3 linked regions of the Oreochromis niloticus genome follow. The protein of the gene in region 3 purifies or fractionates together with the protein of the main gene of each other region. This does not show direct contact. Links are inferred from orthologs where the notes say so. Each region holds a gene or a part of one and is shown on either strand. Other genes may lie near its edges.

Region 1 (11,328 bases), on a different chromosome or scaffold from region 3:
GGTTCAATCTGCTCTTACGCTCCGTTTCAGTCAGTTTTTTTTACCCTTGGTTCAGTATGATGCCACTGAGTACATTCCTTGATATGGTCGTCTCAGGCACACAGCTCTTGCTGAAAACACATCATTATTTTCAAGATTAATTCTCAGAAATGACATATTTAAAGGAAAAAAATGTTCAGGAATCAACCCAACTTCTCCACACTTTACTTTATTAATGACTTTAAATAAAACTCACAACATGTTTCATAAACAGAACAGAAACCTGCTTGATTTTGTGTTTTTAAATTATTTCATCCTTTTGCCAAATGGAGACCCGGTGGAGCTAAAAATCAAATTAAATAAATTCCTTTTAGTCCAATAAATTCAGTGTGTGGAAACGTAACTGTATTAGGTGATTTTCTCACGGTTACAGGTGGTTACGGAAGAGGTTCAGGCTCAGGAAAGACCATCAGAAATCTTCTGTGTGAGCTGAAATTCATAAAACAATGTGAATTCAGTCTATAGCAGAGCGTTCAGTAAACCAGATAATAAATAAATAAATAAAACAAGATTAACTGGTATAAGAGCAGCTTAGAGATGGTAAAGATCAGCGGTCAGTTCAGAGGCAGGAAGCATATCCCTGTATTAGGGCAGGGTCTACCACACTGTTCTGCAAGGGTAGGTCCACTGAGAAGTCAGTGGGCGGAGCCTGGAAGCGTTGGCGGGGGGGTCGCCCTCCCCTTTCAGGGATGGGCAGCTCTGAGTGGTGAGCAGGAATTGGCGAAGTAAAGAAATATGGATGGAGGAGAGCCTGCAGTAAGGAGGAGAGGACAGGCAGAGCACTGATCAATAATCAGTTTATTAAACTTTATCTGAGTGATAATGGGTGAATGGGAGAATATAATGGCTACGTTCCAAGAAATGATTCTTTATGTAAAAATGAGAGGACCTCTGACCGAGCCCTGAGGAACTCCACCTTTGAACTTAAGGTCTGCTTCAGGTTTCTTACCTGTCTGGCTGAGCAGCGCTGTTTAGATGGATACACCAGGAACTTATAGAGCAGGTCCACTGCCTGAGGGGGCATGTCAGGGACGATTTCCTCCAATGGGATTGCTGGATTCTCCTTAAAGGTGATTTTATTGTAATCTGGCAACTCCACTATCTCCTGGAGACAGACAGGAGAGGGATTAAAATGTTTTAACCAGTTTCACAGCCATAGAAGAAAAAAACAAGACAAAATTAAACTTCGCAGAGTGAATTATTTTACCTTAGCCTTCAGATAAAATCTCACACAGACCACAAAGATGTCGCCAGACTTCAAACAGTTGTAGGTTTTTAGAGTAAACACACACAGTTTCTTTTATCAGTTTGGTTTGGAGTGCCACAAGGATCAGTTTTAGGTCCGATTTAATTTCTCTACATATTCATCATCATTTACTGCTAGTCTAAAAACATTTAAACATTTTAAATAAAGCTAAACGGAGGCCAACCAATATTTCAGGCAGATGATTGCAGGCCTATCACATATAATAATATACTGATGATGATTATGATGTTGACTATGCACTGAAAAACATTATTTTAAAAAATAACACATTGCGTCTTTTTAGCACATTTAAAGTTAATGAACGTGGATGTGGGCGGACATTTATATGCACTATGTCCAAAGATGAAAGAGTAAACACTACCACAGTGTGAATACACTGAGTGAATACATGTGGAAATTAGGCAGTGTTCCAGTTTATTTTACATCCTCATTGTGTTTACATTTTCACGATATGTCTTTTATATAAAAGACAGAATGTGTGAGATGATACTTTGATATAAAGCTTAATACTTAACCTAATACAAAAAAAGATCGAGAAGAAAATGAATGTATATTAATGTAACGTCCCCTGAAGTGATGGAAAAACCAGTGTGTATCTTACAGGCCAGCTGTCCTGAGTCGGGGTTCCCAGCACTCTGAGGACACAGCAGAGCTGCTCGATGTCGTTCTCTCCAGGAAACAGAGGAGACGAGTTCAACAGCTCCCCAAAAATACAGCCGACCGCCCTGAAACACACACACAAGCGCACACACGGACTAAACAGTAAGCCATGACTTCAGACTGCTGCTGCCCCCTGCTGTTCATCTCTGATCACTGGACCAATTTACACCTGAGCAGGAACTGTGAACACTAACAGAGTTAGCGTGTACTGAAGCTACAAGCTTACTCTTTCTTATTATATGGTCCCATGTTACATAGTATGTTAAAGAGTAATATATAATAAAATATGCTGATACAGGAAAAGAATACAAGCAGGCACAACAGAAACAAAAGCATCTAGGTTTATTGAGTAAAAGCTAATCAGCAGAGGATTCACAGTAGATAATCAAATCAAATTTATTTGTACAGCACATTTAAAGACCAAAGTGCTTTCCAGTAAAACCATGATACAGATAAAATCACAATATAAAATATAAATTACAGATATAAAATAATGACATAATATAAATGCAGAGCCAGATGAAAATCACACTAATTAGCCTCGAATGCCAGGTTAAACAAGTACTATGTAACGTAAATGTATATAATGTAATGTAAGCTATAATGATCGAACAACAGCAAAAAAATAATAGTGTGGGCGCTACTTTTAGCAGCGTTTTCAGGGTTGTACTCACCACAGGTCGACTCCCTCGTCGTACTTTCGGGCTCCGTACAGCAGCTCAGGGGCTCTGTACCATCTAAACACACACAGTGGTCAAATGTAGCTCAGTGCATTTACTGCACATTACTGATAAAGTATCAGTAATATCCAGTTGAAAGTGGTGATTATTTTAGAATGAACTGAACCAACAAGTCACATGACATGGCGACTTTAACATGATTATTATTTACTGGTGTAATGAGCACCTCAAATCTGAATATGTGAATCTGTTCTGTGACACATTTGTTCACCAGTTGAGCTTTAAAGCAAGTCTGAGTGAATATTTAAAGTATCAACTGACTGCATTTTCCATGTCACCACATGGATTTTTCCCAGCAGCACTAAAGCTAATGCTGTGCTTGTGCTTACTTTATAGAGCCATTTTCTGTATTACATTCAGCCATTCAGATACTGCATTACTGCATTTTATATACAAAAGTACTTACTTTTAGGTTCATTATATTGCATTTAAATTTTCACTTGAGATCTTTCATTTTACTGTCATTTTTCTATTTAAATGAGCATTTTGCTCTTCGTGTTTTTTACCTCACTGAGTTCTTTTGGTAAGTCATACTGTATTTTATTTTGATTAGCTAAAGCTACCTGCTAAATAAAGTATTTCTTATTTAATCTCATCTTATCCTATTTACCTGGTGGCCACCTGGTGGCTGTACAGCCTCTCTCCCTGCTCGCTGAACAGCCGGGCCAGACCAAAGTCTGCAATCTTCAGGTGGCCTGAGGAGCTGATGAGCAGGTTTGCTGGTTTCAGGTCCTGCAAACACACAAACGTCATTTTATAATTGGTTTGATTTATTTTGTTAAAGAAAAGAAACCCGAACACCACCTTCTCACCTCCTCCTGCAACACCTCAGACTGCAGCAACTATTCAGTTTTTTAGCATTTCCCATATTTTCAGCTTTTCATTTATTATGAATAACCAACAGTATTTAAATAACCTTGTATGCTTAAGTGTTGCTTGTTACAAACACAGGATTCACTGAGAAAACAGTCAGATGACTCATTAATGATAATAACTGTTAGCTGCGCTCACCCGGTGCATGACATTGTTGTGATGCAGGAAGGCCACGCCCTTCAGCAACATCATCATGTAACTTTTGACCTGCGCAGGGGTCAGAGGGCGCTGGGAATTCCTTATGACCTCAGAGAGGTCAGACAGCATGAAGTCGAACACCAGGACGAAGCCCGTGCCGTGAGGAAAGACGTCCTTCAGCTTCACCACCTGAGGAGAAAGTCACAGAAAGAAGTCCTGCATCCCTTCAGACTCCAGACACTCTGCAGCTTCTTATAATTTTCTCATATAGCCTAATCTCCTTTTTATTAACATGTCTGTTATGCTTGGCTCTTTTCTTGCTGCTCTGCTTTGATCGTCTATGTTTTCCATGTACTAATTTTTGGTTTCTGTTATATTTTGTTTGTGACATCCCCCCAGCCACCAGGGGAGCTGGAGCATATCCCAGCTACCATAGGGCAAGAGGCAGGGTACACCCTGGACAGGTGGGCAGTCTGTTGCAGGGCTAACACATAGAGACATACAACTATTTGTACTCACATTCACACCTATGGGCAATTTAGAATAACCAATTAACCTAACCCCACTAACTGCATGTCTCTGGACTGTGGGAGGAAGCCAGTGTACCCGGAGAGAACCCAGGGAGAACACGCAAACTCCACACAGAAGGGAGTCGAACTCATACTCAGGACCTTCTTGCTGTGAGGCAGCAGTGCTACCCACCGCACCACCGTGCTGCTAAACACTAATCAAATTTTAAGATTAAAATGACTCTTATCTGTAAAAACTGTCTGCACATTCACTCACATGCTCGTTGTCCTTGATCTCCTGCAGTGCTTTAATCTCCCTTAGAGCCTGGTTCGGAATGCCGTCTTCCAGCCTCCTCAGAGCCACTTTCTTCAGAGCCACCGTCTCCCCTGTCTGACACACAAGAACATTTCCATGTCACATATCTAAGCCGCTGAGGTTAGACCCCAAATTTAATGCTGATCGGATTACAAAAAAAAGAAAAAAAGAAAAAAAAAAGAAATGAAGTAAGATGCAGACATAAAAGCACCAGTCCGTCACCTCAATATGTTTGGCCTTGAAGACTATGCCATGAGCTCCTTCTCCTGTCCGACCCAGAATGTTATACTGCTCCATGTTTTCATGAGCGTTTAAAACAGCTTCAGTTAATCTGGATTTAATCTGGTCACAACTCTCACTGATGTTTTTGTTAATTCAAAGAGTGTGTGGTTTGAAGTAAACCCCCAATGATATACAAATCAGCTCCTTGGAACAGCAAACCAGAGAGAGGAACGCAAACCTCGAACTTCACTCAAAAATTAAGCCGTTCACGATGCTGCGCACGATTGCTCAATAAGATACAGTTATTAAACTATTATTTTAAGCCCAGTAAAACTTTAAACCGTTAACTTAAATTCGGCTTATATTACATATGCAACAACAAACAGCTGTAAAGAAAAGTCTCTCAGAAAATAAATCCTGACCACGGGAAGCGAGACAGCTAGCTGTTGGCTAACGTTGCCTTGGCAACGTCTTAACTCAGATAACCCAGCTAAAATTTTAAAACCTGTTACTGTTTAACTTCTGCTGCCGGCTTGACACGCACGCTTGTTAAGAAAGAAACTACAAAAACGACGATATTTAATTTTTTTAATACGCATTTTCATTCAGGACGTTTTAATAATTGTTTCGTGTTACAGTAGCTAGCTACAGAGCCGCCCGTGGTCTGCCATGTTTGTTTACAGTGACGTCATGAGACAGGACCTCCATAGAGCCAGAGCAGGTAGAAAGCATTAACCAGAATCAACGTTTTATTTTGTTTTATTTTATTTTTGATTCTTTTTTTGTTCTTGTTTGCTGTTTCATTTTTTAACGTACAAACTTAACAATTTGACTTGAACATTTGATTCGATTAATGATTAAAAAGCAATTTAGTTTATTTTTTGGTTTATAAAGCAAGTCTTTTGAACTGCATAGAGATGTACTTGATGTGTCTAAAATTTATAATCTGCTCAGGAAAATGCTTCAAATTTCCCTGACCGACAGACAGACTTTTCTGAATCCAATTGGGAAATGTTTGTTTTACAGCAGCAGGATAAAGAATAAAAATAATTCACTCCGTACTGGTATTCTACATAACGAAAAAGGCCTTCTATTCTACTATATTAAAAAATAAAGTAAGAAATTTTTTTTAGAGTTTCCGAGTTTATGCTATCATTAATTGACAAGCTTTTGCAGCGTTGCTGTCGTTTCGTCTTTTCTGTTTTCACTAAATCTATTCTTTGGGTTCATTTTGAAACCCGGAAGTACTTGTTCACACTTTCTTCTCATCCGGTGTAGAGTGGCGTGTTTACGTCCTGTCTTAGGCATGCTAGCCGGAGAGTTTGGTGTGCAGAAACATTAAAGTTTACGACAGAGAGATCGGGCAGTTCGCAGCTGGACTTTATCCGCAGCTCAACCGAATGTTTTTTCTGTTATTTGTAGCTTCTTTTAAAGAGAAGACAGTGAAGAAATGTCTGCTCCCGACAATGCCACAGCTAGACCTAACGTGGACCAGAAGGTCCTGCAGTATGAAACCTTCATCAACGAAGTCCTGAAGAGAGACTTACAGTAAGAAGACACTACAGCTGATGTCTGAACACAGTTTATTATGTCCTTACAGAGAGCTTTATTCAGTTACAGAACTTTAAAAACTAAAGTAAAAGAAATGTAATCTGTAGTTAAAGTAGTGCAAAATACTTGTGTAGATATGAGTTTATGAACTCAGATTTTTATCCAGGCAGACTTTGAACAGGTAGTAGAGGCGATATGAAGGTCAATGAGGAGTGACTACAAATTAAAGTCATTTAAAGCTTAATTAACAGCCTAATAAAGGTCAAGTCTCACAGCTGCTGATTGTATAATAGTGCTGGTGTCATTTTGGTCCCCCTCCGTGCCTTAATTACTTGCAGACTGATTATTAAATATTTACACTCACAAGTTGCTTTTTTAGGAATACCTGCTCAACCCAAATATCTTATCAGCGATTCATGTAGCAGCAACTCAATTCATTTAGGCATGTAGACGTTGTCAAGACAGCCTTTGCGTGCAATGTGTTTTTAATACAGTGGGATTGTTATACATGTCACTGCTGTGCCAGCACTGCAACAACTGGGGCAACAAACCAGACAGAACTGGAGCGTTTTGACCACACTAAGAGGAAACCTCTTACTGCTTCACATTCTGCAGCCAGTACTGCAGAGCAGAGCTCAGCATGAGCTAACAGAGTGCGAAGCACATCCAGGGACACAAGCTGTTTAGGAAAACTGTGGAGTACACTTGGCAATTGGGTCAACAAGCTCCTTCACAGCTCCATTAGAAGCAGCCTCAGACCATCTTATTTAAAGTGGATCAGTTTTGTTAATTTACAGCTTTATATTGTTTTTCTTGAACACTATGACACTAGAGTAGCTTTGCATGATTCATAGTTCAAAATAATTCTTTTTTGCCTATGACATGACTGGTTTAGCTCCCCAGACAGCGGGTGGGTGGGCTATAATAGGGATATCTCCTCTCAATGACATCATACAGATTCAAGACTTGAAAAAGTATTTAGAGCAATCTAAGGCGTTAGCCTTTGGTTCACATGGGTTACTTGTACATGCACAGACCCGACTGGTTGTGTTTAATGTGAACACTGACAATTTTATTAGGGTGTAAGAAAAGAAATACAGAAATTACTTTGTACAGTTACAGAACAAAATGGTGCAAAAATCTAAAAACTACACCTAAGAAGGAGCTCAGTTATATAGAAAGGATACAATAATGAGCTTGAATCTATTATAAGTACACATGTGTGATGGATAAGAAGGGTAGATCTAATCTTACAGGTATTTATGTGGTTCTTCAGGTTGGCATCTGAGTGTTCAGTGACACAGACTAAAGAGTTCAGGTGTCTGAAATGCTGTTTGGTGCTTTGAATCAGATTTTCTTGGCGTGTTTAGGCTGTTTGAATTATTTTGGTGCATCTGAAGGCGTTAATGTTCTCTGTAAATCAAGTGACGGCTGTCGTTTGGCAGGAAGGTGGTGGAGCAGAGGGATCAGGTTTATGAGAAGATCTCTCAGTACCTGCAGCTGAAGAACACCATACAGAGTCTGCAGGTAAACGCACACAAAATGTACTGTGTTATTTTGAAGATCTGTAGGTTTTTCAGTTTAGAAAAGAAGAGATTTCCACATCAAACTGGAGATCGTTGTAGTGTTTGTGCTGGCTGTCATTCTCTGTTAATGTTAAATGCTTCTGTCTGCTGGTTAATGAGCTGCAGACTGAGCTCTGCCAATACAGACATCTCTCTCTGTAGCTTCTCTGTGTGAGCTGTTTCTGTAATTCAGCACACTCTTCTGTGAGGAAAGATGGTGGAGCTTATCGGACCTCCATCAATACAGCTGAGCCTCACTGCAGCTGTTTATCCAGCAGATCAATACATGTGGCTCATTAGGCCGAGAGCTGTGAACCCAAACCTCCATCGTCTGGATCAAAGAGCCTGAAACTACAGCTGGAAAATCAAAACATTCAGACATTTTACCTCCACTTTTCAGATATTTAAAAAAATAATTTTTTATTTGTTTTTATTTTATTTAGAGGATGGACGTTTTTATTTTAGTTTTCAGATATTTTTTTAAATCACTCTCATAATCATTGATGTCTGTGTAGGTTTTCAGTCATCCAGGTCATGGTAATCTAAGGAGCTTGGAAAGAAAAGCGACTCGACTTCTTTAAGTTTCTTGAAGACGTTTCATCCAAGAAGCTTCTTCAGTTCTAAAACTAAACGGTGAAGAGTCCCAGGTCTTTAAGTCCTAGTGGGAGTTGTCCCATAAGAGGGTCGTTGACCCGACTATTAATCATGTGCCCCATCACACACCTTGGCTCATGTGATTTAATACTTTGAACTGTCCAACATTTGGTCTTAGAACTGAAGAATCTTTCCGGATGAAACGTCTTCAGTCACTTTTCTTTCCGAGCTTCTTACATATTCACTGATATATTTTTCTGTGGAAACCCCGCCAAACAAGCCAAACTCATTCAGTCTCTTTTCTAACTGTCATGTCATGAACGTTAACCTCTAACATGCTGTCTGAGGCCTGTAGACACTGAGATGGAGTATTTTTTTCTCTGAGCTTGGGCCGCCTGTTCCACGAGTGAATGAAAGTCACACGCTTCTTTGTGTTCCTGCAGGAGGCGGGCTCTCAGCAGCTGAAGACAGACGTTGATCTTGGCTGTAACTTCTACGTTCAGGCTGAAGTGTGAGTTGCTGACACACGAAGGTCACCAGCAGCTGTTCTGCATTCGAACAGGCAAAAATGCTGCGTTTAGGCTAATGAAGTGTGCTGCGAGACTCCAGAGAGGCTAGAGCATCCGTGCTCTGTGTTTCCAAAAGGATTTCAGTTCCTGTTTAAACTCAGTTCTCTTTTCCTTCTCCTCCATCAGTGAGGACTCATCCAGGATGTTTGTGGCCGTCGGTTACGGTTTCTTTGTGGAGATGACTCACGACGAGGCTCTGAGGTTCATCGAGAAGAAGACGAGTCAGCTCACAGCGTGAGTTCATTGTCACTGTAACACTATTAAGATTAAAAGTAGGAGAAAAAGCATAAAAATGTAATTATGTTTCAGACATTTTTCAAATGAGCTCAGAATTTCACTTTGTTGTGAAATTATTTGAAAAAAATATGTTAGAACTATTTATTTTGAAATGTCCTGATTTTGTTTTTAGATATTTTTGGTGGGTTTTCTCAATATTTATGATTTTATTATTAATTTTATCTTTAGATATTTCTCAAGTATTTTTTTCACACTTAAATTTTCCATTTTAAAACATTGATATTTTTGTTGTATTATTATTTTTTTCTGACAATTTCCTGTTTTTATTGTACTTTAAAATTAATTTTTATTTGTTTATTTAGAATTTAGAATTATTGGAATTATTACTAATTTCTCTATTAATAATATATTACTAATATTTTTTATTTTATATTTTCTTTTTTTTATTATTATTATGATTGATTATTTTTTACGATTTGTTGTTGCATACCAATGTCTATTAGCTAGCTCATGTTAGCTCTTTGTTAGCACTGTCACTTTTTGCCATGCTAACCCTGTGTTTGTGTTACAGCTTCACGGAGCAGCTCACAAAAGACTCTGCCAAAATAAAAGCCCATATCCGCATGGTGCTGGAGGTCAGTTTCTTCTCAGGTGGATTATAGGACAGTTTTTATATAATAATAGTTTCTGTTGGGTGCAGGAGTTTTCCTCTGGCTTATACTTAAGTACTAAATAACTTGTTACTCATTTCTGAGGATTTTACAGTCAATGAAGTTTGAACATTGAACTAGAAGTAAAAAGTTTTACCCATCTAATGAAATACATCAAGATCAGATTTGAATATGTTCAGTTAAAACACTGTTTTTCAGTATTTACTGGTGACAAAAGGGTTAAAATAGTCAGATTGATCTGATTAATGACCAGATGTTAAAGAAGCAGGTAGAGAATCTGATTGGCTTCTTCATGTTTCCCTACTCAGGGTTTGAGGGAGCTGCAGGGCCTGGGCGACCTGCCAGAGAGCAGAAGAGGAGACGTTTTCTAGACTTTCCCACCTGACCAGCTGCAGAGGACGGGTTAACGAAAGCCGGCTGCTGATGTCAACGGTGTGTTTTGAGAAAACAGGCTCGAGGAGAAGGAAAGACTTCAGGACTAAAGCCTGAATCCCAACAAGTCCTCACAGAGCTGAAGAGGAGGATTAGTGCCTGAGCCTTCTCCGAGTCAAAACTCACAGTCATGAAACACGTACTCTCGACGTGACTTTGTGTCTTTGTGAAACTCGTCTGTTGAAAATCAGAGAATATTCCTGTTTTTTTGTTTTCTTCAGTGTCACAGTGAAGAAGGAGCTGCTCAGAGATACTCCTGCAGCGTCTAAACAGACACTTTCAGTCAATGTGACAAATTCAGGTTCAAACAAACCTGATCTCATAGGTTGAAAATAATGTGACAGGAAGTGAGTTTTCACTGTTTGGAGGTTTAAATAAATTGTTTTGTGAAAATGATCCGGACAGCTTTCCTTCCTTTGGTTTGTTGGACCTGTGCTCAAGGTGTTTCCTGGGTTTTCATAGAAATTCTTTGGATGTTTTACTGAATCTTTATTGAGGATTTAACTTTTTTTTTTCCTGACTAGCTGTATTCTAAATTTCTTTGAGAATGATGTGTTTATTCAGGTGTTTCAGGACTTTCAGCATCATCCAGCCTCCTCCTGGAAACCCTGCTGAGGCTGATCCGACACCAGGATGGGTCCACATTAACGGGTGGGTACTCTCCTCCCCTGGTTCTCTCTTGAGCCATCTTGAAGTTTTCTCAGCTGTTTCACTGGAAATACAGATGTCTGTTTTCCTTAATCTTCTCTTTAAAGACCAACAAGTCGAAGGCTTTGGACACAACACCTCCTCATCCGGCCTCCACTGGGAGACACTTTGCTCTCCGTTCAGCTTGCTGACAGCCGGCCTCTTCTACGGCGGTCAGTCGTCCTCCAGGAGTGGGGCCGGTGACTCCCCTTTACCAAACATGGTGTGTCTCTGGTTTCCACAGTTCGGTCCAAGTTC
Region 2 (10,488 bases), on a different chromosome or scaffold from region 3:
ATGACCCAAGTCAATTCCCCCATCTCTGCTTTTTCCCCTCATATGACGTGCTCCTTGCAGATAATAAATCAAATCCATATTATGTATTATGTATGTATATTGATATGTAATAATATGTGTCAAGTCTCGAGTCTCAGGTATTTCGGGTTCATTTTGATTTGTGCGCGTGTGTCGTCAGCTGGTACGGACCGGTAGCCTCTTAATTTGCCCGTCACTATCTTGACATATCACTTTGGTCTTTGGATCGACGTATAAAGGGCGTCGGGGCCTCTGCTCTGTGTCCAAAGATCCGCACATTTTTGCTTGCCGTGGTCTTGAAAAGAGGAAATAATAGCGAAAATCCTCGTGAGAACACAGAGCCAGTGCAGCCACAGGACTTCACTTTCACATCGAAAAGTGAACCAAGAGCTGAGCTCTGGGACTGGGGGTTATTAAGCAAACATCTAAAAATAGAAGCTTTTAGAAAAAAAATAGATTTTTTTCTTTTTGTTTCAACTTCAAAATCTATATCTGCACACACACACATGCAAACGTTTGTCCACAGTGTTATTATTATCCATGATGTAACTATGATGTAACCAAAATAAATTAGAGATATTTAGAATTTTTTAAATAAATATGTTATACATTTTAATAAATGTATATTTATATAATTTCTTTTATTATTGTAATTATTTGTTAATTTATTTATTGTTCATGTACCCAGTGACGCTAAAGCCTTGATTTTCCGCTTTATGGAGGATGTTGCCTTTACGTTATGAATAGCGTCTCTAGCCTACGTCACTCCACTCTTACGTCTTATAGGTTGGGTAAAGGGTTAATAATTGATGGCCATACTGTCAACGACATACCAATACACCCCCCAAAATCCTCTAAGATTAAAGTCAGCTCCTTTTATCCACAGAAACTGTTTTATTTGCAGTTCGCCGTGTCTGATTATCGACAGATAATAAAAAATGTTAATGCTTCTAAACGAAAAAACAAGTTATTTTAAGAGGCAATTTTAGTATCAGGGTTAAAATGTATTAGCCTGTATTTGACTAGTTTAATGATCACAGTAATATAAACTCGATTAAAATAATGAAGGAAATCCCATTTATTTAGCCGACAACAAGACAGCGGGACTGTGCTTGCGCAATAATCTCAAAAAGACGTGATCCAGGAGTCGACTCCCCCTAATTTGAGCACCTGATGGTACATCCCAGTTTCTCGTCCTCTCCCTCTTATTTTCCTGCCGTCTGCTTTCTGTGTCCTCCATCTCTCCGCTGTCTCCCACCTTCCTGCATTAAGGACATTCAACTTTTGCCGTGTTTTCTGTACCATCCGTTATCCCTGTAATATCTACAGTGCTGCTGGATAGGTAGGTGAAAACTATATTCCCTCTATTAGATATTTCCTGTATAACAGGGGACTTTTTTTTGTTAAGCTGTGTCCAACATGCATTTTGTAATATTGAAGCTGAATAATGCGTTCTTTTAGTCTTGGCTTGTATTTATTCCTCTTCGTTTGTTCTAATTAGCATTTTCCCTGATTTCCTCTGTTGCAGTGACTGTACTCCTTATTTCTTTCCTCCATCTTGTCCTACATTTATAGCACAAATGACTCATGCAGGCTTTACAGAATAGAGAACAAGGAGGGGGAAAAAGATAAAATCTTCATGTTGCATTTCCACTATAGGCTCTTCTCACGGTCAAAGAAGTAAAGATTAAGCCTGACATCAGCTCTGCAGATGCAATGCTTTCCTCCCCCCCTTGCCTCCATTATAAAGCTAGAAGATTGTCCCATGAAAAACATTAACATAGGACGCTTCTGTGGCTTCTTTTTCCTTCAGTGGGAGATCGTGTCACAGGAGCTGTCATCAAAATAAACAATTTCAAGTCCCTATGAGCACCGGAGTATTCCTATCAATGTCATATTTCCAAGGTCACATTTAAGGCCCTACCGCCTCACGACTGGCTCACTGCTGTAAGGTGAATCCATGATTATCAGGTGCTCTTTCATATGCCAGTGGCTTTACACTCAACAGAGCATATGACATGATGTCTGAGCCTAATTTAGAGGGATAATCTGGCTATGTCTGTTTGCTGTCTTTTTTTTTTCCTCAGTGAAGCAGCACAGAGCTGACCTTATAAAGTATCCTGTGACCAGACCACACCTCTGTCTCAGAGCCGATGGAAGCCAAAGGCAAGCCTGGGGCTTCAGCTCCAAAGGCAGCACCTAAAGTGGAGAAAAAGGAGCCGGCTGCCCCACGCAAGTCTGACCCTGCCCCTGCAGCTCCTGAGCCGGAGCATCGCCCTCCTGCGCAGGATGGAGCAGCGGAAACAGAGACAGCAGCAGCAGGTGACGAAGCTGCAGCCTCCGGCACAGACTCTCTGGAACACCTGAAGCCCTTTCTCATTGGTGGGGCCGTTATTGCTGCGGGAGCCATCTTGCTCGGAGTATTGCTACTGGCAAGGAGAAATTAAAACCAAATCATTATCTGAAGTTAGGGTATTTATTGGTTGATGACTTAGATGGTCGCTGCTGATTGGTTCACAGACTATCATGATAAAGATTGGGGACTTTTTCTTTTTTTTTTTTTGCCCTGCTTTCACTTGTAGTGAATCAAGTCATTTGATTTTCGATCAAGGCTGTATATGGAGCATAATTACACATATTATATGCATGAAGTTGCTACAATACTGCATCTGAAGTGTAATTATATAATTATAAAAAAAAACTCACAAAAAAAAAATCTTAAGCCAAGCTAAAAACCTGAACTCTTAAAGGTAGCTTATTCAGCTGCTTTGTCTGGTTTAATCTAATTTGAACAAATATTGACAAAAATGTTTAAATATTTGTACATTCTTGCACCAGAAATGAGCTTGGTTCACTTTGCTAAAAGAAACACGTGAAGCCTGAAATCATAATGTTGAACCTTTGAAATATGAATAGCAGCTATCAGAGTTCTAGGTTTTTACTTTACTTTAAAATGAGACAGTTGGAAGAGAAGAGCAGAGAATAGCTGGGATTGTGCACTGTGGTGTATTGAAAATACTCTGGCTAAATCATTGATTGCCTAATTGAAGGTACTGAGTTCCTCTATAAGTATAGAGCGTATGAGACATCGAACTGGCGAACACAAGCAAGTACAACACAATAAAAATTCAGAGAGAACACATAAGTATGCAGGGGTCGAGGAATGGCACGTGAAGGGTCGTTGGATGTAAAATATGTATACTGTGGACCAGAGTATAATAGTGCAGTTATTTATTATTGTAGAATAAGCAGATTTATTTTACTGTCAAATTATATCACAAATCAATAACCTTTCGTGTCTTACACAGCAGCCGCAGTCATGCTGTTTCAATCTGTTTACATCTTACAGTAGATGTTTAGCTGTAGCAGGCTGAACAGCCATTAGTGTTGTGTATCAGGTTGAAAGCCTGCTGCCAAAACATGATAGTTTTTTCTGTCCTCCCTCTGCCCCTCTTATGTTTTCTAAACCTTGTCAACCTCATTTAGGAATTAGTAATGAGAGCATCCTGAATACTCTTATACAATGAAAGTGTGGTGTACATGAACTATTGTTCTATAGTTGGATAGAACTATAGTTTAATCAAAAGGGAAAAAAGCAGTCTCGGTTTTCGTTCCTGCACTCATTAACTTGTACAGCTGTACACATTATTTCCAACTCACATTGCAAAGCTCATGGGGGGGATTGTCCCCCGTTCCATAAGTAGATGCATAAGACAGTTCTAACACATATTTAACTTTAAGGATATGTATACATTTTACACATTACTGGCCATTAACATTGTGCTAACACTCAGCACTCATCACTACACTTAGCACCCCAAGCATGTCCAAAACATAGATGGCCTACGCCAACACTGAAACAAACTTCACCTTACATTGTACAATACAGTGTACCAAAAAAAAAGAAGAAGAAGAAGAAAATTCCTATTTTCATAATCTCAACAGCGTATAAATGCAATAATTCAGATAGGACTCCTCATTTAGCACACGTGCGGTAGCAAGTTAAATTATATAAACATTGTCATAATGTGTGATGTTAGTGATGGAAATGATGGCGATGTTACATATGATGATAATGAGGGTGATGGTATGCTGTGGTATAGTATGGTGGCTGTAATGATAGTATTGATGGTTATGATATATTTTTTATATATTTATAACATATTTACCTTATGCACCCTCCCCTTAGCTCCCAAACTTCTTAATGTGTAAAAAGAAAGTGAAACCCAACTTTATTAAAGGCAGTGAACCAACCCAAGTGAGTATGTCTTTAATCGCAACTTCAGCTTTAAATGGATTATAAATGATACTCAGTTTCATCTGAACTTTATATTTACATGTCTATTTAAAAAAAAAATTGTTTATTGATGTTGGCAGAGTTGAACCTTTTTCTTGTTTTTTTTTTTTTTTTTTTCATATATATATATATATATATATATATATATATATATATATATATATACACACACACACACACATATATCTATATCTATATCTATCAACTTCTGGTTGACTTAATTTTACTTTCTGTATTCTGTGATTTGTGATATTTACTACTATAATTTATTATTTGGGAATTTTATTATCATTTCAATTTTATTCAGTTATTTGTGACAACAAAGTTTATAGTTCACCATGAATGTATCAGATTGCATCAGGTGTCCAGGAACGTCTTTAATCACTCTTTTATTACCCCATTTAAGGCACATTTCATGTAAAGTATTAGTTAGGGTGTATTGTTGGGGTCAGGGTGTATTGTTATGTAATTCATTTTTACTCCAAAATCAATATCTATGCTGGCTCACAGAAACCATTATTGTGGTCAGGTCTACTTTGCTCAGCACGTCCTCCCAGAAGGATGTTTCTTTAATGTGACATAGGATGTAGTTATACCGCAGAGAAGTATTGTGTCTGTTTTTAAGGCATCTGCAGTTTGCTCTATAGTTAGGGTGGCAGCTTGTTGTCTGCTGAGTCAACTTTATGGTCATTTTTAGAGCTGTACTTATGTGATGCCAATGCTATATGTGAGATTTTCATAGCTTGGCTGCTGCTTTTCTATCATTTTGCCAATGAACAATTTACATATATTATTAGTAATATGGAAGCTATAAGGGTACATAGAAACTGAATTCTCCCCTAATATCCCCATAAGTTTCTCTTATTAATGTGTGTGTACAAGATAATTTACTAGAAAAGTGATATGCATGTCTAATTTTATGCGTACAAAGACGCGTTATAATGAAAAGAAACACCTAATCAAGCTTTTCGTTTTACCTCTAAACGTCATAAAATTAAATTCACTCCGCTGTTGCAGATGAACAAAGGATAACCATCAGCAGGGAAACAACACATTTCCACACATGAAGTAAATTCTCTTATTTGCACAAGATATTTACCACATCACGTGTTCATAGATATAAATATAAAGTCCATACACTTTAGGCTTTTTTAAATTTATAAGTTAGAGATGATTCTAAATGTAGTTAACCGTATAGTCACCTTTACCCATGCTACATCTCTCCGAGAAGTGTCGTGAAATTTGTCTGGATGATTTTTTTTTTCCGGATCTTGATGACAAAAAGTGAGGCCGAAGTAGTCGTTTATTTTGAAAGATTCTAACAGGAAGTCTTCTTGTTGTTGCGGCTGGAGAAAGCGAAGCTAGCAGTTACAACTTCTCCGGTGTTTGTTTCTCTCAGAAGACCATAACTTGTGTGCTTTAGCGAACGGTAGTGGCAACGGTGAGTAAATAAAACGTGACCTTCTGCTTTTTGTGGTAAACAACCAACACTGCGATTCGCAACATGTTAAAGCAGCTACATTTATGCTAAGCGCGTGGTTACGCATGCTGAAATGGCTAGCTAGGTGTTTTGTTCAATTAATTTGATAACTGCTCCTGAAAAAACACGCACAGATACAAAAAATAACAATAAACAACGCACAGGTAAACACTGTTTGGGTTTATCACCTTGCATAATTTATAGTTGTCTTAGCTACACATCAAAGATACAGTATTAGCATAATATTGACGCTAGCTAGCTCGGAATTAGCCGGGCACCTACTAATACTTTCAAGTTAAACTTATCGCCGTTTTTCGTAGATCGATGAAAACAAAATTGGGTCGTTAACATCACATAGGTGTTTGATACGTAATTTTATTGGGTAAGTTAAAAACCAGGTCTCTATTCACAGGTGTGTAAACATGATCATCCCTGTACGCTGCTTCACGTGTGGCAAGATTGTTGGTAACAAATGGGAAGCATACCTTGGTCTTCTTCAAGCCGAGTACACAGAGGGGTAAGACTAACACATTCTGTTTTGTTCCACTGACATTGCCTCTTAAATTGTAAATAACTGTTGTATTATGGCAACACAACTTAGTAGCAGTGCAGTCGCTGCACATTGAATTTTTTTCGTTTGTAGAGGTTAAGTGGTTTGAAGTCAACTTGAAAATGAGTTGATGGATTAAGTGAATCATAATTGCATGAGGCTATTTAGACCATTTTCCTCAGTGTGTTCAGTAATGTCCATGTACTTATTCATTCAGGATATAATACATTAGCTCTGACATTACTTTTTCCTTCTTCCTTCTCAAGTGACGCCCTGGATGCCCTGGGACTGAAGAGGTACTGCTGCAGGAGGATGCTTCTTTCTCATGTGGATCTTATTGAGAAATTGCTGAATTATGCGCCATTGGAGAAATGAAAACTAGAAGAACTGTTTGGACTTTGTGCAGGCTGAAGTTTTGAGAGTTTGTGTTATTAATGTGATGCATTTTTCTAAATAAAGCTGTTGATGGCATTGTTACATGTGCTTATACCTTTGCTGTCTTGTCTAGTTGCAAAGCTTAGTCCCCACACTTGTTCTATGCATTAAAACAAAGCAGCATGATAAATCTTGTAGAGAGACTTTCAGTAGTTTTACATTTTAATGTGTTAACAGTAGTCCAAACACAGGCAGTTTAAATGATTTTTGTGGTCCCCAGTAAGCAGATAAAACAACAACTTGGATTTATGTTTATGGATTTGTTTTTTTTGTACATTTAATACAAAAAGTGATAAATGTTACAGTTACATAAATTAGGAGGCGCTTCTGTGCATGCAAGCTTTGAACGAAGCAACGATTCTACAGTCTTTATCTAAAATTACAGATCCTGGAGAACTTAAAAAAGAAAAAAGTACACCTTGGACTTTAGAAGATGCATATCCGTAGTTTAATCTGGAATTCTTCTACTTTTGTCCCCCCAAAAAAAGGCCTGTCTTTGCTCTGCTTCAGTCACAGGACTTCAGTCTAGGGATGGGAAAATAATACATTTTGAAATCCACAAATTTTACAAATCAGATCTACACTATACTGAACTTAAAAGTAAGTGTTTGTATGTTTTCAGAAATACATTTCCTAACTGAGTTCTGTCATTTTAGGATGCATCCTGTGGCGTTTCACACAGCAGTATGCATATTTGTGCTAACCCCTTACATATATCTTGACTAAAAGTTCTGCATTTGATCAAGTAAAATGTATTCATTTTACTTGATCAAATATAGCCGTGCTCTGTCAGTGTCACGGTGCAGGCAGATTTAATAAATTATAATATAGTAAATTTATAGTAGTAAATTTAGCGAGTTTCACTTTATGAACCATATACACATACATAATACAGTAAACTGCCAGAAGGATTCAGTCACCGATCCAAATACCGTAATTGAATTCAGATATTCAATCACTTCCATGGCCACAGATGTATGAAATCAAGCACCTAGTCATGCAGACTGCTTCTACAAACATTTATGAAATGTAACTGAGCTCCTGCTCTCAGGACAACATACACTCAGGTAACACTTAACCATCTTCATAAGTTCATATTAAACCATAAGTGACAGATGTGAACTTTACTGCTGAAGTTACCTCTTTTCATAGTACATGCCTCAGATCTGATGAAAAGTACTTCTAATATGAGAAGATATTGGCTATAAGAAGCTTTTATACATTTATAAACCAAAATGAAAAAACTGACACTAAATAATGAGCTACTATTACATCACAGGACAAAGTGCTGCTGAGTTCCTGAACAAATTGTTGAAGGTTGAAGGAAGTAAAGCACAGTTATTGTGCTCTACATTAATAAATCTGCATTATCAGGTTTACTGAACAAACTAAAAGATGTTGCAAGTCTTTTTTTAAGTTTTTTGTACTTATTACTGTGTAATAAGAAACCTAACACGACAGAACTTCTTGAGAGCAGGCCACGTGTGTTTTTTCTTGTCACCACAAGAAAAACAAAAGGTGAAATAAAAAATGGCTCATTTATTCTAGTAAGTTGTTCCAGTGAGTTAGCAATATTGGGATGCAACCTATGTGGAACACACCTGGGCTTTCCTTCCATCAAAAGTCAAAATGTTTACTGGAAAAATAGTAGATATTCCAAAAACGTGAAACCGACTGATGGTAAAATATAATTGTAGTGTACAAATTAATATTAGTGAAAAACTTACCTAATTAGTGGTACCTGTCTCTGTGATCTCTGTGTCTTTCCCGTTCCCGTGAATACGCCTTTTCCCTTTCTCCACTCCAGGAACGCTCCAGGTGTCTTCGAGACATTCCTGCACCTTCACAAACAGAAGAATAGTCCCTATCACGCTCTCTGTCACGACTCCTGTCCCAGTCTCTATCACGCTCTCTGCCACGACTCCGTTCCCGGTCTCTATTACGCTCTCGACTCCGTTTCAGGTCTCTTTCACGGTCTCGGTCACGGCTCCATTCCCTGTCTCTGTCCCGCTCTCGCTCTCTGTCCCGACTTCTGTCCCGGTCTCTTTCTCCAGAGCGACTTTGTTCACTGAAAGGAAATATGGTTTTGTAACAAAGTAAGAAATCTAATGCTAGGTCCAACCTCAGTATTAGTTCATATACATGCGTATATATACGTTCATATACGGACAACAACGATAGCGTTTTGATAGGCAGTTATACAAACCTGTAGCCATAGTTGCCCTGGATAGAGACTAGACAATCCTTGAGTGACGTGACCAGCGTCTGGCATCGCTCATCTCCATACACTCTGGACTGCTTAATGATGGCAATGGCAGTTAATAGCGTTTCCATGGCCACCTGCAGGTCTCCTGATGTAGAAATTTAGGAGATATTAGAAGCATTTGTTTTTTAGTAACGAAGCACTTTAAAGTTCCTAGGGTTAGGTTTAATAAAAAGTTTTTGAAAATGGGCGACAGTTACTACAAAATACATTAAAGATAGGAAAGTATCTCGGAACAGAAGCAGCAGGGAGGCTTGTTGAGTGAGAAGACATAAAACCTGGCCTGAGGTGATGATTCACCTATGTGTATACAGAGACCCAGAGCACGCAGCCAACACAAGGCTGAGAGGGCTTTGGGATAAATCTCTGCATGTTGTTAAATGTGCCAGCCGAAGCTTCATCTTAAACTCCAGTAGAAATTGTTAGAACTAAGAAAGGCTCTTATTTCACTCTGATACACCTAGAGGAAGTAACAAAATGTATGAAGAAAGTAGAAATTAAAAGTGTGCAAAGCTAGAAAAACCATAACCAAAAACCTAAAGGCCCCGAAGACACCCGTTGTGTTGTAAGAGCACTGACAATCAAATCTGATTAAACCACAACCAAACAGTCCTGATAATAAAGATGATTATTTCCAGATTTTTAATTTAATTTTCTTCTTATTTTGCCACAAATATGCTAAATTCTTGAGTCGCTCGTTATTCTTTGTATTTTTCTTCAAAGGAGCCAGTCTTTCTTGTAATTTTTGCAACTGCAGTATTTTCAATAAACTGAACAAGTGGAGAACAAAAAAAAAAATAACTGGCAGCCCCCCCCCAAAAAAAAACTATCTATAAAAAGTCATGTCCTTAAGAAATAGGAATAATCTACCAAAGAACTAGAACACAGTGTCTACAGCCATCTGTAAAACATGGTGGAGGCTCCATCATGATTTGGGGCTTCATTTCTGCCAGAGGTGTCGGGATTTTAATCAGTGCTGATGGAATTATGAGTATCATCAGATTTTGATCCACCATGCAATACCATCTGGAAAGCATCCAACAGGTAAAGGCTTCAATTTTTAATGCACTAGAAGGATAACATTGTAAAAAAAAAACCAACAACAAAAAAACAAAACAAACCGCACACAATGATGGGTGGCTCAATGCTTTAACATACACAGTACTTTTTGTTGCAGAGATCAGACTGATTAGCATTAAAACAGCATTTTCAGAGCCTTTCAAATAATGAATAAAGTCTGTAATGACTTATGTACACAACATAGTATTTAGTTTTTTATCACTAGTAAAAAAATGTATTCAAATTATATCTAAGACAAAAATATACTATGATATGTGTGTGCTTCTTAATTCAAGTGCAAGTTGTGTTGAACAACTTTACATTTTGAGTGTTTCTCCAACTGTCTGTTAATCATAGATAATAAGCATAAAAAACTGTATCCCATA
Region 3 (11,328 bases):
GGGACAAACTGTGTTCCTTTTCACCTCAGTACGTAATATTTTCTCTGAATACGAGACGATTCTGTTTTTTACGGGACGGTTGGCAACTCTAATAATTAACCGTATGAACAAAATAAAGTTCAACATCAGTAACATAGCACCCACCCAGCTGTATAGAAACTCCGTCATGCTAGCTAGCACGCAGTACGAAAATGTCAGCATACCGAAAATAAACTCCACCTAAACTTGGTTTATATCTGACCCAGATAGACTGCAGGTCATAACTTCTTACCTGAAGTTCAGTTCACCTGACGCGCGGACCGGCGGCCGCCTCGGGTCTCTCCTCTTGCCTCCCTTTTCCTTCATCCACCTGCTGGCCTCCATCACTTGCTAATGTTATTGAATCTGTGGAAGCTCCGCGATATCCACCACACGAAGTAACGAGTAACGAGCCTATCTAAATCCCAGTAACGAGTAACGCGTTCCTGGTTTTGGCATAATAACTAGTTACCGTGCTCGTTACCACAATAATAACGCGTTAGTCCCAACACTGGATTTAACGCTACTCCACACTACTCCGTTGTCATATATATCACATGTAAATGTCAAATGTATGTATCTGTAAATATATACTGTAACTCTAATGGAGTGAGTTCATTGTCAAAGTTTATATAGCCAGGTGTTCCAATCACTTCAATGGTGACAGGTGTATAACTTAAGCACCTTGGCATGCAGACTGCTTCTACAAACAAGTGCCAAACCATGCTACCTTTGTTAATATAAGCTAGAAGCATATTCTGACAGGAAGAATTACGTGCCAAACCATGCTACCTTTGTTAATAAGAGCAAGAAGCATAATTCTGATGGGACGAAATTACGTGCCAAACCATGCTACCTTGTTAATATAAGCTAGAAGCTAATTCTGACAGGAAGAATTACGTGCCAAACCATGCTACCTTTGTGAATGTGACCTACAAGCACACTTTAACGGGTAAAAATAAGTGGTAAACCGTCCTGGCTTTATGAATATGAGCTACAAGCATACTCTGATGGGCAAAGTTAAGTGGCATTCCTACTTGAATTTGTGCTGGAATTACTGTGACATCAGAAATGTGTACAAACTACTTAGGGAGGAAATTTTGACAAAGTAGGATGTTTTTTCAGAACAACGTCCTACCCATTTAAATTTATGCTGGAACACCAGAAAAAGTCGCCAGATTTGTCGCTAGTCGCTTTTTAGAAAAAAAAGTCGCTAAGGGTGTCTGAAAACTCGCTAAATATAGCGACAAAGTCGCTGAGTTGGCAACACTGTTTGGACTGTTTTCAAAGTATTTCAAAAAATTCAAAACAAAAAAGAAAACCGTGCATTTCAATGGGTATTCTCTGAGCATGCGCAGAATTACGCACAGCTGTCCTTTGATGCTTTGTTCGATCAAAGGATCAAAGAGCGCTGACGTCAAATTCGCGGCCACAAAAGTCCATAAATACGCCCTCTTCACCTTTGCAAACAGTTTTACTTGGAGCAGTTTCAGAAACAGGGAGTTGCGTTTTGCAAACCAGAAACCTTCCAGAAAGAGACTATTTTTAAATTTAAACAATTAAGCAAACATTTTTTCTTGTCGACACTTTGCATAAACATTTAAAGAAATGTCAGACGAAACATTTAATAATTCACAGTCCAACAGAGTGATTCAAGCGGAATCAATCAGACTGCATACGGTTTTGAAGATTGAAATGCCTAACTGTAGGGAGCTTCAAATGAAAATTGAACAACTCCAGTTGGAGTTGAGCACCCTAAAGCTCAAAAAGAATTATTATAAAGATAATTTCCATCGGTCAAGAGATGAGCTTAAACACATGAAGGTTCAGGCTGAAAAAAAACAGACACAGGTGGAATCTCTGGAGGCTAAAATCCAGGAACAGGAAAAGAACATTCAGACAATGCACCATGACTTTTTGGAAAAGGAAGAATCTCTCATTGAGCAGAACAGCAGCATTGCTGCTGAGTTGTCTCAGATCGAAAGTGAGAGAAACGAACAAAAGAAAGAGAACGCAGATCTCAAGGACGCTTTAGAGAGACTTGAGCAACAAGTGAGAGAAGCTCACCATAAAATAACAAAAAAAGAAGAGATAATAGAAAAACAAAATAGAGAAATATGCAATCTCCGATGTCAGGTGAGACAGGCTAAGGTCGAAAAACAGTCACAGGTGGAATCTCTGGAGGCTAAAATCCAGGAACAGCAAAAGAACATTCAGACAATGCACCATGACTTTTTGGAAAAGGAAGAATCTCTCATTGAGCAGAACAGCAGCATTGCTGCTGAGTTGTCTCAGATCGAAAGTGAGAGAAACGAACAAAAGAAAGAGAACGCAGATCTCAAGGACGCTTTAGAGAGACTTGAGCAACAAGTGAGAGAAGCTCACCATAAAATAACAAAAAAAGAAGAGATAATAGAAAAACAAAATAGGGAAATATGCAATCTCCAATGTCAGGTGAGACAGGCTAAGGTCGAAAAACAGTCACAGGTGGAATCTCTGGAGGCTAAAATCCAGGAACAGCAAAGAACATTCAGACAATGCACCATGACTTTTTGGAAAAGGAAGAATCTCTCATTGAGCAGAACAGCAGCATTGCTGCTGAGTTGTCTCAGATCGAAAGTGAGAGAAACGAACAAAAGAAAGAGAACGCAGATCTCAAGGACGCTTTAGAGAGACTTGAGCAACAAGTGAGAGAAGCTCACCATAAAATAACAAAAAAAGAAGAGATAATAGAAAAACAAAATAGGGAAATATGCAATCTCCAATGTCAGGTGAGACAGGCTAAGGTCGAAAAACAGTCACAGGTGGAATCTCTGGAGGCTAAAATCCAGGAACAGCAAAAGAACATTCAGACAATGCACCATGACTTTTTGGAAAAGGAAGAATCTCTCATTGAGCAGAATAGCAGCATTGCTGCCGAGTTGTCTCAGATCGAAAGTGAGAGAAACGAACAAAAGAAAGAGAACGCAGATCTCAAGGACGCTTTAGAGAGACTTGAGCAACAAGTGAGAGAAGCTCACCATAAAATAACAAAAAAAGAAGAGATAATAGAAAAACAAAATAGAGAAATATGCAATCTCCAATGTCAGGTGAGACAGGCTAAGGTCGAAAAACAGTCACAGAATCTTGCTCCTGAACCTGAGGAGCTTGTTTCTTCAGTCTCAGAAGCATCTCCTGATGTGGTCCCAACACAGGAGAATCTTGCTCCTGAACCTGAGGAGCTTGTTTCTTCAGTCTCAGAAGCATCTCCTGATGTGGTCCCAACACAGGAGAATCTTGCTCCTGAACCTGAGGAGGTTGTTTCTCCAGTTTCAGAACCATCTACTGATGTGGTCCCGACACAGGAGAATCTTGCTCCTCAACCTGAAGAGCTTGATTCTCCTGTCTCAGAACCATCTCCTGACATGGTTCCAACTAGTGGTTCATGGCATCATGGTGCCAAATGCCTACTTAAAATAGGTTTAGGTGTTGCCGCAGCAGGCCTTATTATACCTGCAGCTTACTGGGCCTTTTCAATGTTTAACAGCAATTGCGTATTTGCCTCTGCCTCTAGCCTCCTTGAGCCATTTTGCTACCTTAATGATGGATCAGTTCCCTTTTAAAGACCAGTAATGATGGACTGCTTTTCATCCACAGTCCAGAAAACCATATGTTGTTCATGTTAGACAACGTGAGCAACATATAGCTAACTTGTGCTCTCATTTTTCTTTTCTTTTGCCTCTCACCCCCCAACCAGTCGTGACAGATGGCTGCCCCTTCCTGAGCCTGGTTCTGTCAAAGGTTTCTTCCTGTTAAAATGGAGTTTTTCCTTTCCACCGTGCCTAGTGCTTGCTCATAGGGGGATCATTTGATTGTTGGGGTTTAATTGCCTTGAACTAAAGAACTTACAAACTCTGGTGAGGGGTTCACACTACAAAAGCTACAAATAAAAAAAAACAAACAAAAAAAACCCAAATTTGTTAGCAGCAAAAAAAAAAATAAAAAAATTTGTTAGCAGCAAATCAAAATAAAGAAAACAATTTTTGAAAAACATCTCTTACGGCTCTGTTTATTTACCTAAATGAACACTTGTATTTTCTGTCATAGAAGAATATACATTGTCCAAAGTGTCTGATAATTTTAAATTTAGCACTGCACTGCATGAGATAAACTGTGGCACAGACAGCTGTCAGCCTGGTGAGGGAGAGTTCCTCTTCAACCTCCAAACTGAACGCAGTTTGTTACTCGCAGCATTGCAAATTTAGACAGCAATTTCTTAGAGTCTGGTTTAAGTCCTGAAATGACATCTCCTTAACAGCATAGAAGCATCCCACCGAGCATCCACAGTCATTACATTGTATGTAGACTGTATGTGAAAAAAAGAAAAAAAAACCCAGAAAGCTAAATAAGAAATGCTTCTAAGCAGTAGAAGGTTGTTGACAGTAGCAAGCTACAGGTCTCTCAATATCTCTCAATATTGCTCTCCCTGAGAACCCTGTGCACAGCTAGGTTTAAGGTATTCTCAGGTATTAGAATTCAACACATTTAAGTATAGTGACATAAGTAAGTTGATGGTTCAGGTCACCTCCTGCAGCTTGCTGGAATTCTTGTCTGGATTGCCTGGGCTTAAACACTTGCTTAGTTGGCAACAAGTTATCAAGTTAGTGGGTCACCTGAGACACGCTTTGTCTAATTCATTGCAGTATTTTGCCATTCTCAGTGAGAGAGGAGAGGCTGCTATAAGTGGGTTTTGCTAACAATGTCCCGGGGGTACACGCTGCAGTTTCGTCATCGATCCCACCCTTTTCAGAGAAAGTGACTTCTGTCACACTCTGTGAAGACCCTGTGCTTGTCATAGGAAATATGCTACTGGGCAAAAGGGCTATCACAATAGTGCAATCAGAGATAACGAACAAGGGATTTTATTCCACTTACTTCTTGATTTCAGATACTATATCAATGTCCTGCAGACCATCACTCCAGGAGAGTGGTTCACCTTAGTAGTCCTCAATGACGCTTACTTCCATGTGCCAGTTCATTTTGAACACACAAGGTTTCTGCATTTCACCTTTTGGGAAGTGTACATCAGTTTGCTATCCGTTGGATTTTTAATAACTCCAATAAGTAAGAAAGGAAATTCTAGTCTGAATGTACTGTTTTTTGCATCGCACAGTTACTTTTTTGTGACGCAACTGTGAGTAACTGTGCGTCACAATACAATATTTTATGACGTAATGTTTTTTAAAAAGTAGAACGATACAATCCTTGTAAGTTAAAGAATCGGAACGCTTTTCTTGCTTCTGGTCGTACGGACGTTTTAGAGTGCAACACAAAGGAGTCACGCTTGCAAGATATCAACACTGACGGTACAGGTTTTTGTGTGTTTGCTGATAAGCAGTGGAGTAAACCATGGAGGTCCTGGGAGGACAGTTTAGCGACCTGACTCCACAGGAGCTGGTGGCTCCTGTTAACACCGTAGCTGTGAGTATGAAGACCGGAAAGGACCGAAAGTCTGGCAGCACGAGCACAGAGATGCTAACGCTAGCGTGGAGGCTGTTAGCTCATAGAGATGCAGAGTGAAGGGGAACGTCCTGTGTCCCAGTTTGTTGTTTCTGACAGATATTTTTTCTAGTGTACAATTTGGAAAAAGTGCTTAAGCATTTACACAGCTCGAATAGTTTTCAGGTTATTGATAAAACGGACTTGTTTATTTGCTCGTTTCCCTTTTTAACAGGAAAAATGGAAGTTGTTACCAGCCTTCCTGAAGGTAACAGAACACACCAGCCCTTACACACTTTTACTAAATTTCAATGCTTCTTGATTAAAATATGTTTAAAGTATGGTAGAAACTAGTGGGTATACAGTAACAGTTCACTGTCATGTTTATAAAAACAGTTTGAGGTGATCTGAGCTCTGTGAGATGGTGTGTTACCCTGCTGGAAGCAGCCATACTGTGGTCAGCACCAATGCTCAGCAAGCCTTGGTGTTTAAATGGTGCTTAGTCAACTGGGGACCGAAGTATGAGAAGAGAATGTCCCCTAACCCTTTTATACCACCACAACCAGCAGCCTGAACTGTTGACACGAGACAGGATGGATCCATGCTTTCATGATGTTCACACCAAATTCTGAAATCAAAACTTATTAGACCAGAAAACCTTTTTCCAATCTTATATTGCCCGAGGTTGTTGAGTGTGTGCAAACTGTAGCCTCAGTTTTGCGTAGTGGTGTAGTAGTAATCTGACTTACTGTTGCCTAGTTCCTATCACCCAGAGCAGTCAGACAATAACAATGACATCTCTATTTAAATAGTACAGTTCATTACATGACAGCTGAAAAAACCCTGTGTAGGTTTATGATGACTTGAGGCAATGAAAAACAATTAAACAAAACAACAGCATCTATTAGCTGTAGGCCTGTGTGGCTAAAAAGGTTTTGAGGCTGTTTTTCAATGTACACGCAGATGTAACTGATCCTAGGTCAGCAGCCTGCTCCAAGGAACTGAGGCAGAATAACTGAAAGTACCCTCAACACACCAAGGCTACGTTGACACTGCAGGCGAAAGCGCATCAAATCCGCCTTTTTTGACCCTATGCAACCCATATCCAATCATGGTATGACAGTGTGAACAGCACAAATCCGATATTTTCAAATTCGACCTGGGTCACTTTCGTATGTGGTACTGAATCTGATACATATCTGATGTTTTAGAAAGCGACTGCTGTTTGAATGGTCATGTCGCATTAAATCCGTCTTTTACGTCACTGACACAAGACAGACACCAATTATCAGCGCCAGAGAAGCGCCCAAGAAGACATCGTGAACGCTTCCTGGCCATCCGGTGTAGATGTTAGTGAAACTGTTGGGAAGACAGCGTTGGAGAAACATTTTATTTGTACTGTATAATCTGCAGATTCTGACAGAAATCTGCAACTATCCTTTGAAGCACCGCTCCTGTCTAAAACAGCAAAAAGGATAATTATTAGGCCATATGTAAATAACAAAATAGCTTTATAGCTTAGAGCAAAATTGGGAAACGTAAAGTCCGAAACAAGTCTTTATATTAAGGGCCATCAGTCAAACAATACTGTTTGGTCTGGGTCTAAACAGCGCGTTGTGTGACGTCTTCTTTTGCACATGCGGGCTGCTTTGAGGGTTCACACTAGAGCGCATTTGCTGTCACATTTTATTTGTAGTGTGAACAAGCAGACAAAAAAAATCGGATTTGATCAAAAAATCGGAATTGAGCATTAAGACCTGCAGTGTGAATATATGATTTTGAGAACAGATCTGAACCTGATGACCTGAGATGTCTGTACTGGGTACCAAATCATCAAAAGCTTTGTAAATTTCTGTGTACCCATAAGGATTCCAAGGCTGGGTTTTAAATGAATAAGGGAATTCCAACTGATGATTTGGGGAGTCCTAAAACTAGAGCGTTGCAATAAACTAACCTACTAGATGTGAATGTGTCGTCAAATTTCTCATAGTGAGTTTGAGATAGAAAATATAATGTTAGAAAATCCCTAAGTTACAGAAAGCAGTATTGGTAAACTTATTGATGTGGTTATCTGGTCATGTTTCTTCTGATTCCTTAGCAAGAGATTTTTTGGCCAAGGAAATATGTTTAGTAAAAAGGGAAACATTTGAGTCCAGTATGGCCATGAAATAATGAAATATTGCATAATGACCAAATATACCCTGTACAATGTGTCTTGTTCTTTTACCCTGTTAAAGCTTTAGGTCATGGACCTTCTTTAAATTACTTTTTTTTTGTCATCAAATATCAAAGTATCCTCCTGTGTAATGATGACAGAACAGTTGGTGGGTCTACATCTGTGTGAGTAATATTATTTGGGAGAGTAAACATGTATATCATGTTGTGTGTTTTGCAGGTGAAAGGTTTGGTAAAGCAGCACATCGACTCATTCAACTATTTCATTAATGTAGAGGTAAAACACGAGCATGTCTTTGTCTGTTGCTGCTTTTTCATGTACACTTGGATTTTGAGCATCGATGTCTCATTTCTGCTTCTAGATCAAAAAAATTATGAAGGCAAATGAGAAAATCACAAGTGATGCTGATCCAATGTGGTACCTCAAGTAAGTCACTGTGTGCATTCACCATCACTGACTTTAACACTGCAGACATGCACAACAAGTCGTTTTGTTTTTATTAAAAGAGGAAATAATGGATTTTTAAAAATTTGCAGATACCTCAATATCTACGTTGGCATGCCGGACGTGGAAGAAAGCTTCAACGTGACCAGACCGGTCTCTCCCCACGAGGTGAGAGTAGTCTGTGTTTCTGCTGTTAAATATGAACCATTGTTTACTGTGGTTTAATTAAAGTTAAATAAAGCTTTTGAGTAATCAAATACACAGCTTGAAATGAGTTGTAGGTAGGAAGGTAGATAGATAGATAGATAGATATATATATATATATATATATATAGAGGAAGATGTCTCACTCAGGCATCTCTAGACTCAGCATTTAGTTATAGCCCTCATAGAGGTATTTGTTAATTATATTTGAGTGCCTACACCTCCAATATCTTGATGCATGCTCAATCATCCAGGTAAGTAAATCTCCAAAAGTTGATTCTGTTCATCTGGACGTAGCGTTTTCTGGGAGAAACGTTTCATCACTCATCCAAGTGACTTCTTCAGTCTCAGCTGACTGCAGGTTTCCCCAATCTTATAAACAGTACATTTGCATAATGACTGAAACCAGCCTACTGAAGGAACAATGGGCTGGGAGGTCAGTTCCTTAATCATAATTATGCAAATTCTCATGACCATTGATCAACAACCACTGATCAAAGCCCACTGATCAATGGCCATGAGTACCATTCACAGAGAGTTGGGGAATGGCTGCAATCATAGCATTGTAAGATGTACCCTTAGGCCCCCTCCTCGATTCAGAGATGGTCTTTCCCTTTTCACGTAAATGGCCTCCTTGACTCCGCGCTCAAACCAGCGTTCCTCCCTGTCCAGGATGTGTACATCCTCATCATTGAAAGAGTGTCCACTGGCCTGTAGGTGTAAATAGACTGCAGAGTCCTGGCCTGACGAGGTTGCTCTTCTGTGTTGTGCCATCCGCTTCGCCAGAGGTTGTTTGGTTTCCCCGATGTATAAATACTGGCAATCCTCCTGGCACTTAACAGCGTACACTATGTGACTATGTTTGTGTCGGGGGACCCGATCCTTGGGGTGGACCAATCTTTGGTGCAGCGTGGTTTAAAAGCCACAGAGTCCCGGTGTTTAGAAAAAAATGCGTCTCAACTGCTCCGATACTCCTGACACATATGGGATCACTACAGGTTTTCGCTTGGGCAGCGGTTGTCCTTCTCTCCTGGATCGGCTGGAGCTTTCTTTAGGTGCCTTTCTAGCTTTGACAAAAGTCCAGCTGGGATAACCACATTTACTCAGGGCCTTCTTGATGTGCTGTTCTTCTGCATCCCTGGCCGCTGTGTCAGTGGGGATGGTGTTCGCTCTGTGTTGTAGCGTCCTGATGACACCCAGTTTGTGCTCCAGTGGATGATGAGAGTCAAACCTTAGATACTGATCCGTATGTGTAGGTTTACGGTACACGTCAGCTTTTAGATGTCCCCCATTACTGATGGAAATCTCACAGTCTAAGAAGGCTAACCTGCCACTCTTCATATCCTCCCTGGTGAATTTGATGTGTCGGTCCACCGAGTTAATGTGATCCGTGAAATGTGGTACGTCCTGAGATTTGATTTTCACCCAGGTGTCATCCACATATCTGAACCAATGACTTGGTGGTGTTCCAGGGTAGGATAGAAAAGCCCTCTTTTCCAACCTGACCTGCAATCAGCTGAGACTGAAGAAGTCACTTGGATGAGTGACGAAACGTTTCTCCCTCAAAACGCTACGTCCAGATGAACAGAATCAACTTTTGGAGATACACCTCCAATACTTTCCTTTAAAGATGATGAGATATAGCTCAGAGTCATCTGTCTCATCCCACAGTGTCGTCTCAGAGATATGACTTACTCTGCGCCGATCACAGTGGATATAGAGTACACCCGCGGCAGTCAGAGGATAATTCGCAATGCGCTGCCCATCGGAAGGTATCTTTTTTTCCCCCTCCCCTGCTCCTGTTCTGTGATGCAGACATATTTATATTGCATTTATATCAAATCTACAAATTTAAAACCTCTCCAGCAAAGCTCAGTAAGCCAACAAGTGCCAAAAAAATAATTCAGCTTTTGTGATTTTTAAGCTTTGTTTGCTGATAAACTGACCTTCTTCACTCATTTGTGCTGACGCATTCTTCTTTATAACAACACGGTAATAAGCAATATTCATATTTTATTAATGTAGATAACTCTGCTTTTCTCAGGATGCCCATCATGCTGCGAAGCTCTAATTGCGTTCTCACGGGAAAGACGCCGATGGAGTTTTCAAAACTCAACGAATGTCCCCTGGATCCAGGCACGTAACCGTAGCACTCTCATTGTAACTCTTTCCCCCTCAAGGGCCTCACCTGGACCCTTAATGATGAGTTTTGGCATCTCAGTACATATCAGTAAAATGTTTGATGACCATTAGAATAGATTCCAGGTTTTTCCAAGGGTGGCTGTACAGGCAGTGATCACCCTCACTAATTTCTGATGCACATTCAGAAAATTTGTACTATAAGCAGGTCTGAAATATGACAGAAACGGCTCATTACTGAAAAGAGATTCAAGGAGTAAAGAGTTAAAACTGCCTTTACACACTCTGAGAGTAATTAAGTAAAAGAAAATGACTTGCCATCAGGTTCTCCAGTTAAATTGATCAGTGTCCCCTTTTTTTTTCCCCACAGGGGGTTATTTCATTGTAAAAGGTCAGGAGAAAGTCATTCTGATCCAAGAACAGCTGTCCAAGAACCGAATCATTGTTGAGCAGGACAGGAAGGGTGCAGTTGGAGCATCAGTTACCAGGTACTGTAACAACATGTCCATTAGCAGCTGTTCATCCATCACTTTAAAGTTGCCTTCTTGGCAGACATGTAAAGAAAAAATCAGCTGTCTCTTTTCAGTAGCTGTCTTGTTTGACCATCTTAACCTTATCGTTTTATTGGCTTCTTCTTTGTGATTCTGCCCGGAAGCGCAGAAGCGTGGAGACGACTCATGAGTGTGGATGCTGTGACTGGTGTTTGGTGTAAACCATAACGTGAAGCTGCTAGTTTAAGACCTGTGAAACTCTGATATATTCGTGGGTCATTCCATTTCAGTTCATCAAATCTAAAAGGAAAAAATTTCCACCAGGACTGTGATCATCAGTCTTTCTTGAATTAATTCCAGGGAAAGATGCACTAATTA

What was found.
Region 1: the proteins of polr3b (region 3) and uxt purify together in Homo sapiens (affinity purification with mass spectrometry; 3 studies listed by BioGRID and IntAct, counting the BioPlex papers as one, with this or other methods). This does not show direct contact. The link is inferred for Oreochromis niloticus from reciprocal best matches to the Homo sapiens genes POLR3B and UXT.
Region 2: the proteins of polr3b (region 3) and polr2l purify together in Homo sapiens (affinity purification with mass spectrometry; 5 studies listed by BioGRID and IntAct, with this or other methods). This does not show direct contact. The link is inferred for Oreochromis niloticus from reciprocal best matches to the Homo sapiens genes POLR3B and POLR2L.

Annotation. Positions count from the first base shown.
Region 1 is NC_031984.2:4,339,649-4,350,976, forward strand, and holds uxt (protein UXT), read left to right. Parts: upstream 1-6,010; 5' UTR 6,011-6,214; coding exon 6,215-6,312; intron 6,313-7,760; coding exon 7,761-7,842; intron 7,843-8,917; coding exon 8,918-8,985; intron 8,986-9,169; coding exon 9,170-9,277; intron 9,278-9,851; coding exon 9,852-9,915; intron 9,916-10,259; coding exon 10,260-10,322; 3' UTR 10,323-10,779; downstream 10,780-11,328. Other genes in the region: cdk20 (cyclin-dependent kinase 20), read right to left, coding at 599-790, 989-1,144, 1,908-2,031, 2,641-2,703, 3,317-3,438, 3,718-3,906, 4,504-4,617, 4,765-4,839. UniProt on the Homo sapiens protein: Involved in gene transcription regulation. Acts in concert with the corepressor URI1 to regulate androgen receptor AR-mediated transcription. Together with URI1, associates with chromatin to the NKX3-1 promoter region.
Region 2 is NC_031965.2:19,337,700-19,348,187, reverse strand, and holds polr2l (DNA-directed RNA polymerases I, II, and III subunit RPABC5), read left to right. Parts: upstream 1-5,604; 5' UTR 5,605-5,756; intron 5,757-6,207; 5' UTR 6,208-6,217; coding exon 6,218-6,312; intron 6,313-6,611; coding exon 6,612-6,720; 3' UTR 6,721-6,834; downstream 6,835-10,488. Other genes in the region: cleavage and polyadenylation specificity factor subunit 7, read right to left, coding at 7,287-7,305, 8,522-8,848, 8,987-9,131. UniProt on the Homo sapiens protein: DNA-dependent RNA polymerase catalyzes the transcription of DNA into RNA using the four ribonucleoside triphosphates as substrates.
Region 3 is NC_031972.2:56,762,481-56,773,808, reverse strand, and holds the start of polr3b (DNA-directed RNA polymerase III subunit RPC2), read left to right. Parts: upstream 1-5,292; 5' UTR 5,293-5,406; coding exon 5,407-5,478; exon of another isoform or gene 5,479-5,479; intron 5,480-5,731; coding exon 5,732-5,764; intron 5,765-7,891; coding exon 7,892-7,948; intron 7,949-8,033; coding exon 8,034-8,098; intron 8,099-8,208; coding exon 8,209-8,284; intron 8,285-9,991; coding exon 9,992-10,092; intron 10,093-10,364; coding exon 10,365-10,456; intron 10,457-10,829; coding exon 10,830-10,947; intron 10,948-11,328. Other genes in the region: uncharacterized protein LOC109202896, read left to right, coding at 1,627-2,688. UniProt on the Homo sapiens protein: Catalytic core component of RNA polymerase III (Pol III), a DNA-dependent RNA polymerase which synthesizes small non-coding RNAs using the four ribonucleoside triphosphates as substrates.